2 linked regions of the Macaca mulatta genome follow. The protein of the gene in region 1 purifies or fractionates together with the protein of each later gene. This does not show direct contact. Links are inferred from orthologs where the notes say so. Each region holds a gene or a part of one and is shown on either strand. Other genes may lie near its edges.

Region 1 (4,462 bases):
TGGCTATTAAAATTAAATAAAATTAAGAATTTAGTTCATTTACATCAGGTGCTTTTCAAGTGTTCAGTAGCCACAAGAGGCTAGTGACTGCCTTATTGGACAGCACCAAGAGAACAACTCCATCATAGGCAAAAGGCCTATTGGACAGTGTTGGTATAAGATGCATGTGAATGTGCGTGTATGCATATATGGTTTAGGAACCCTTACAGAGAAACGAGGATAACTTGTGTGCTGGGCATCATGGTTCACCCCTGTAATCCGAGCACTTTTTGGGAGGCCCAGGCAGGTGGATCACTTAAGCCTAGAAGTACAAGACCAGCCTGGGCAACACAGCAAAACCCTGCCTCTACAAAAATACACACAAACACACACACACACACACACACAATTAGCTGGGCATGGTGACATGCATCTGTGGTCCCATCTACTCAGGAGGCTGAGGTGGGAGGATCGCTTGAGCCTGGAGAAGTTGAGGCTGCAGTGAGCCAAGATCGTTGTCACTGTACTCCAGCCTGAGCGACAGAGTGATACGTTGCCTCAAAAAAAAAAAAAAAAAAAAAGGGTAACTTGTGCTCTGAAGTCAGTTTAGGTTGAAATCCAACGACAGCCATTTACTATGACCTTAGGCAAGATGCCTAAACCTCTTTTGATTTCAGTTTCCCGATCTCTAAAAATGGGCCTAATAATAGTTACCAGCTTGTGCGGTTGTTGTGGGAGCTGAGTGAGATGGTACACAACAAGTGTTAAGAAAGAGTGCGTGGAATTTTTTAGCTCAGTTTTAGTTCTTGAAGCAAAAAGGTTTGCATGCTTAATTTCCTTCAATCCTCAGAGCCTACCGATGGGGAGTTGACTATAACTTCCATGCAGATGAAGCAAAGTCTGAGAGGTGAAGTAACCAGGGCATAGCTAGAGTGTAAATGTTGTGATTCATTCAAATCTACATCACTTGACTGTCTTTTTTCATTCAACAACCTCCTTACCTTGCTTTATTTCTCTCCTTTTCACATGCCTTACTTAGTCTGTCTTCCTCCTTCTAATAGATGTAAGCCCCCGGCGGTCAGGGATTTTTGCGTTTTTTGTTCACGAACCCTATCCCCTAGAACAGTGTTCGGGATAAAGAGGGGCCCAACAGGTCGTATGAATCTGGACACGTCTCAACTTCCCTGAGCCACAGCTCCCTCTCCTCCGAAAATGAGGATAATAAGAAAGCCTACTGCAGAGCTGGTGCAAGATCGGATTGGAGGAGCGACACAAAAGCGCTGTGCAAACCTGGATGTACGGTACGAAAAGAAGCTCTGTTCTAGGTTGCATCCCGCCTAAGCACCGTCAGGGCCGCGCGGCGAGCGTTCAACTTCCCGGGACGCTCTCCTCCCAATCCCTACTCCTGGCCTCCACCCTCCTACCACCCACCACCCACCTCGGGGCGGGGACCGGAAGTGCAGCCACTTCCGCCGGGCGCCGCGGAGCTGAGGGACGCGCGGAGATGAGGGACGCGCGGAGATGACGCAGGCAGCACCGGAAGCCGCTCCCCAGTGAGGCTGTGGACCGGGAGCGGCGGCCGCAGGTCCAGGTCTGTATGCGAGGCGGGGCCGGTCGGGGAGGGGACTTTCAGGCGCCCGCGCCTCTGCTGACCTGCCGCGCCTTGGCTGTTTTTCTCTCCCTGCAGGCGCCATGGCTGCGGAGCGGACCCGGCCGCTGCGAGGCTCTGGCGGCCCGAGCGTGCCTAGTAGCTGTGAACCCGGCTCGAGGTCCCGGGCCCCGGGGTGCTCGCTCAGGTCAGTGCCGCGCGGAACACGGTTCCGAGAGCAAGGGACCTGGGAGCGACGAATGGGTTGATGGGATCTGGATTTTAGAAATGGGAAAACAGGGTTTCGGAGTTACTGCCTCCTACTGCCTCCATTTCCTTAGCTGCAAAATGAGTTAACAGTGATGTCCCAGGGCTACCAAATGTTTGAAAGATGATGAAGTGTGATGAGGTGGTTTATGAAGTACAAAGAGCTGTGCTGCGCCATAATTGTGGGTATGCCGTGAAAACAGGTGTGTGTGGGGGGTGCTGCTTGAAGTAAAGCAAAGATAACAATATTAATGCTGAGTGAAAATGGTAACCGACATTTACTGTAGGCTTACAGCGTGCCGGGTACTGTGCTAAACGCTTTACGTGCACTATCTTGTTTAACCCTCATAAAAGCCCTTGTAGGTAATGCTCTTCGTGGCTGTATTTTACAAGTGAGGAAACAGGGCGTGAGACAGGTGAAGTGTTTTGCCCAAGGTCACCCAGCAACAAGTGGAGTTGCAGAACGCATTTTTATAAACATTTGTATTCTTTCAAAGCTTTAAAAAATTCACCTTAAAACTAAAGGCTGTCTTTTGATAGTATATCATACTTACATGGTTTTCAGTTTTAAAAGGTATACGATAAAAAGGGACCTCTCATTCCTTTTCTCCAGTTCTGTCTGGAGGCAACCAGGGTTGTCAGCTTCTTGAATATTCAGAATACATTTTATGCATATGTAAGTTTATAGGTGTGTATACATTTTCAACGCCTCTGTACTCCTTGATAAGAAAAGAGGGGGAAATGAAGCCTCCTTCCCTCTAACACTAACAATTAGGTTGCTTTCACTCTTGACTAGGCCAGGTTCTGATGGAGGAGGAGGTGGGGAAAACACATTTACACTGTTTTCCAGAAGGTCCTGTCTCTAACACCTTAGAGTATAGGTTTGGGGAGGATGGGTACTGGGCAAAATATTGAGCCTGCTACTTCCTATGCCATTCTGGGAAAGCCACTCCACTTCTTGAGCCATAAATTTCCTTATCATGTTAGTTAAGGGCGGCATTACTGATACCTTCCATGAGGTTATGAAGATCAAATGAGATGTTTACCAGTGGTACTTTTTCTTTAAAACCAATATAAATATGTGAGTTGCCTAAGGTAATATAGGGAGTTAATGGCAGAACCTGAGACCAAACCCGGGCTCTCTTTTTCCAATTTAGGAGTCTTTTTGTTACATGACCCACTTTGTGATTATTGATACTGAATGCAAGAGGGCAAGTTGAATGTTAACTCTGAGGTAGAGGTGTGGGGTAAGGGGGCCAAACAGCAGGGAATGTGGATAGAATAAGGCACCTGCTGGGAAACGAGAGCCTGCAATAAACAGGTGCTCTTTTCTTTTCTTTTTTTTTTTTTTTGAGACGGAGTCTCGATTTGTTGCCCAGGCTGGAGTGCAGTGGCGCGATCTCGGCTCACTGCAAGCTCCGCCTCCCGGGTTCACGCCATTCTCCTACCTCAGCCTCCCAGGTAGCTGGGACTACCGGCGCCCGCTACCACACCCGGCTAATTTTTTTTGTATTTTTAGTAGAGACGGGGTTTCACTGTGTTAGGATGGTCTCGATCTCCTGACCTCGTGATCCGCCCGCCTCGGCCTCCCAAAGTGCTGGGATTACAGGCGTGAGCCACCGTGCCCGGCCAACAGGTGCTCTTAATTATCAAGTTAAACCCCTAGTAAGTTTGAGCCCTTGAGTTTTTCTTCCGGGTATTTTGAAGATAAACTTTGTGGTAAGATGATGGGGTCGAAAGAGATGTTAGTGGTCATGTCCACTGGTCATTCCAGCCTCAGTGTCACAGAAATCTTTCCTGCCAGATATTCATAGTAATAAAACTAGCAAAAAGTACCATTTGAGTTTTTACCCCCTAGACTGTACACTGTGCTAAGCTTGTCCTTGCTATATTTCTAAGTTTCACCCTTCAAGTTGGATGATAGCTTCCATTTTACAGATGATAAAACTGAAGCTTAAAAGTTAGTTGGACATGCCCGTAATCACATAGGAAGTGGTTGAATCAGTAAAACATTTGACCTCCAAAGCATTTTCATGTATCACATTCTGCCTCTGTGTGCAACTGTCCTTGACTGTTCGTGGTAATGGGAAACTAACTACTCTGGAGGGAGCTATTCCATTGTTAGAAAGCGCTGAGATTTAAAAGCTTCTCATGTTGAATTGAAATCCCATTTCCTGAGGTTTGTGCAACCAGTATATGATATTTCTAGAGGCTGCCTAAAAGAGTCCAGTTTAGACTTGTTACCTTAGAAAGCCCCCTCCAAAGTTAGTTGATCCTTTTGGAAAAGTAAAAAATTGGTGTTTTTTAATAATACATTCTGCGGTTAGTGAGACTTGCTTTTTTAGGGGGAAAAAAATGCCTTTTTCAGAATAATCAGAGGTGAACTGCTCAATCCTACAAGGGATTGAGTGGTTTAAAAGGCAATCTAAAAGTTGGGAAAATTTTTTTATTAAGAGTTAGGAGAATATTTAAATCTCAGATATGGCTGAGCTTTTTAGAGGTGCTCTCTGAAAAAGCTTCTTCCATAATCTTTAGCGGTGTCATCGGCACATTAATTTGACTTTTTAAAAAAATTATACTTTAAGTTCTAGGATACTTGTGCACAACGTGTAGGTTTGTTACATAGGT
Region 2 (3,816 bases), on another chromosome or scaffold:
GATGATTTTGAGGTAAATTTCTTAATAAAAAGGAATTACCTGCATATCAAATGTTCAGGGTACTTTTTTTGAGTGTTTGTGGATATTTAATACCATGAAAAATGTTCCTGTTTAATTTGAGATGAAAGAATTGTTTTTACTATATTCTTGTGAGTTTATTAGCATGTTTTTGTATACAGAATAATTTAAAGAAGCCATCTAAAATCACATGTATCAATGTATTTTAATACAGTAGATGTTACTCACTTTTATTTTTAATTTATAATGTGACAAATTAGTCATCTTAAAGCTTTAGTTAACTTGTTTTTAGGATGGAGAAGATTTGATGGATGAGAGTGTACTGAAATTCTACACTCAACAATGGGAAGATTATCGATTTTCAAGCAAAGTACTGAATGGAATTTGTGCCTACCTCAATAGACATTGGGTTCGCCGTGAATGTGACGAAGGACGAAAAGGAATATATGAAATCTATTCAGTAAGAGTTTTGTTTTAAATGTGTTTTTTTAAAATGATAAATTGTCTTTTAGTAAGAGAATCTAGGCAAATATTAAGCTTTTTTCAGAGTAGTAAACTAATTTTCATTGTTTTATCAATAAATGTCCCTTAAATATTTTTTAGCAAGAAAGTAGAGGAATGGGTAAATTGGAGTTCTAAAATACAATTTGTCCATTTCTGCATTTGCTTTTTAAAAATTTCTTCTTTAATTACCTGACCCTACCATCACAATTGGCATGGAACTGCCTGAGTTTTCTCACTGAAAGTCCTGAGTCGTGGCAGTCCCAGGCAAATCAGGTGCCATACCTGAGGGCGAGCCCTGAGGATTAGCCCTCCCATACTTTATAGCCTGGTAAACCCTGCTTCAGGGAGAGGACCCTGAATTAATTACTAAATCACTCTCATTAATATATGTTGCTTCAGTCAGCAAAAGGGGTTTTTTTGTCCATTGGCTTTCAAAGTATGGTCCCATATTTGTCTGTTTTCATAACTTCTGATAAAAAACTGCCTGAGACTGGGTAATTTATAAAGAAAAGTTTAATGGGCTCAACAGTTCCACGTGGCTGGGAAGGCCTCATAATCATGGCAGAAGGCACATCTTACATGGTGGCAGGCAAGACAGAATGAGAGCCAAGCGAAAGCAGAAACCCTTATAAAACCATCAGATCTCGTGAGACTTATTCACTACCATGAGAACAGTGTGGGGGAACCACCCCCATGATTCAGCTCTCTCCCACTGAGTGCCTCCCGCAACATGTGGGAATTATGGGAGCTATAGTTCAAGGTGAGATTTGGCTGGGGGCATAGCCAAACCGTATCACGTCCCCAAACCTGCTCTGTCAGCATCACCTGGGGACTTGTTAGAAATGCACATTCTTAGGCCTCATCCTAGACTTAAGGAGAAACTCTGGAGATGGGGCCCAGCAATGTTTTACCAAGCTCTCCAGACAATTCTGATGCATGCTCCAGTTTGAGGACCAGTGTTCTAGAGCAATTAAGGGAGGACTCAGAAGCTCTCCAGACAATTCTGATGCATGCTCCAGTTTGAGAACCAGTGTTCTAGAGCAATTAAGGGAGGACTCAGAACAGTCTGTTCGTGATCAACACAGGCAATGCCCTTTAAAACTAGTTTTGTTAAAATGTCAGATTCTACATAAAGAAGTTAATCACCATATCCAAGAATGTTGCTATAATAGCAATACTTTGTAGCTTCACTTTTGACAAATTTAAAAGAAAAACATAATGCTGGTTGCAGTGGCTCATGCTTGTAATCCTAGCACGTTGGGAGACCGAGACAGGAGACCAGCCTGGGCAGCATAATGAGACGTACAAAAAAATGTATCCAGGCATGGTGAGGCACCTATAGTCCCAGCCACACATGAGGCTGAGGTAGGAGGATCGCTTGAGCCCAGGAGGTGGAGGGTGCAGTTAGCCATGATCGTACCACTGGACAGAGTGAGATCCTGTCTAAAGAAAAAAAAGAAAAGAAAGAAAAGCATAATGTATCCCAGATGCATGACTTGTTTTTATTGTTTGTGTAACTCCAGTTTCTATACCAAAATTGTTAATTGGTTCATAATGATACTTTGCTATGTAGTTAGTCTGGTTCTAACAAAACTTTCTAGGTTTAGTTGTTTGATTTGGGGTTTTTGTGCTTCCCCTTTAACATTTTGTTTATTTTTTTAACTGACAAAAATGTGTACACCATGCCTTTTTGAAATATGTGTGTATTGTGGAATAGCTAATGGGATTTTTTTTCTTTTTCACATATAAATGCTTTCTTGAGACTCAAAAGTTGTTAGTATAGGAATCAGGATGATCTTGGTTCATTTCCTTTTGGAAACCTGCTTGACCTAAATGTGTACCCTACAGTAACATCACAGACTCCTAAAAATAATTACGGTTTTTAAACTTTTCCTATACTGTTTTCAACAACAGTTAAAGAAAATATAAATAAAGAAGTTGAGCTGACAAATGTCTGTGCTTGGATACCTCTTGAAGTTGTTGACTCTAGAGAGTGGCTTTCTGATTTCGTCATGATAGCAGATTTTGACCAACTTGTAATCTAGAAATTTTGATGAAGTAATTTGAGATTTAGATTATTTCCTATGACTTCAATCTTGGAAAAACATAGTAAAAGTATAGATATTTTGTACTTTTTTTTTCTCCAGCTTGCATTGGTGACTTGGAGAGACTGTCTGTTCAGGCCACTGAATAAACAGGTACCTACTGGTGTAAGCGTGTGCGTGTGCGTGTTCCTTTTAAAATCCCTTCACAGTTTCGTTGCTTAGCCTTTGTCTGCTCACTCCTTTGGATTATCCCATCTTACATTGTTTAATGGCTGTGAATGTTTAAGGGATATGTAGTAATATATATCATATTCTATAACCTGTGTAATATTTTTCTACATCCTTTCTAAAGGTAACAAATGCTGTTTTAAAGCTGATTGAAAAGGAAAGGAATGGTGAAACCATCAATACAAGATTGATTAGTGGAGTTGTACAGTCTTACGGTAAATAATTTCCCTTTAGTTTATTCAAAGTTTCCACATCAAATGGCAATTATGACAATGCTCTAACAGATTTCACTTTAAAATATTTTCATATTATAAAGGACATTGTTAGCATTTACGAAGGTACTTCTCTTTCTTTTTAAGTCAGTGTGACTTTGTTTTTATCCATCATAAAAGCTGTTTGATCCGTGTGCCTTAAGGAAATTTTGATGAAATAGACATTTTAATTATTTTCTTTTCTGGTCTCGTAGTGGATTACTGGACATGTTAGAGTGTGAGCTCAATGATAACCAGAAATCTATATCAGCTTGAAAAATTGAGATTGAGAAACTGATAAAGTAATACAATGTCTTAAAAACTTGGGTAGCATTGTATTTCTTTGCAAATTTAAAATTAGTTATTTTTATTGCCTTTGGAAATATAAAAGTTCTCTAAAGGAACTTCATCATAATTTTGAAGCATACCTGGCCATGGGTCAGAATTACTTGCTTTTTATACATCTTGGATTTTTTTCCTTTTTTATTTTATTGAAAGAGTGTACTTTAATACTAGTGAGTAAGAGTTACTTATGTCCTGCCATTTCACATTTACCTTTTAAACATAACTTAAACTGAATGCTACACCTAAGTATATTCTGTGAAATATAACCAAAAAAATAGGGTAATTGAAATATAGCTCATATTCATTTCTAGTGGAATTGGGGCTGAATGAAGATGATGCATTTGCAAAGGGCCCTACGTTAACAGTGTATAAAGAATCCTTTGAATCTCAATTTTTGGCTGACACAGAGAGATTTTATACCAGAG

What was found.
Region 2: the proteins of FBXW2 (region 1) and CUL1 purify together in Homo sapiens (affinity purification with western blotting; 13 studies listed by BioGRID and IntAct, with this or other methods). This does not show direct contact. The link is inferred for Macaca mulatta from reciprocal best matches to the Homo sapiens genes FBXW2 and CUL1.

The regions. Positions count from the first base shown.
Region 1 is NC_133420.1:37,410,418-37,414,879, forward strand, and holds the start of FBXW2 (F-box/WD repeat-containing protein 2), read left to right. Parts: upstream 1-1,511; 5' UTR 1,512-1,570; intron 1,571-1,666; 5' UTR 1,667-1,958; coding exon 1,959-2,037; intron 2,038-4,462. UniProt on the Homo sapiens protein: Substrate-recognition component of the SCF (SKP1-CUL1-F-box protein)-type E3 ubiquitin ligase complex.
Region 2 is NC_133408.1:188,577,355-188,581,170, forward strand, and holds part of CUL1 (cullin-1), read left to right. Parts: intron 1-310; coding exon 311-478; intron 479-2,669; coding exon 2,670-2,720; intron 2,721-2,919; coding exon 2,920-3,010; intron 3,011-3,702; coding exon 3,703-3,816. UniProt on the Homo sapiens protein: Core component of multiple cullin-RING-based SCF (SKP1-CUL1-F-box protein) E3 ubiquitin-protein ligase complexes, which mediate the ubiquitination of proteins involved in cell cycle progression, signal transduction and transcription.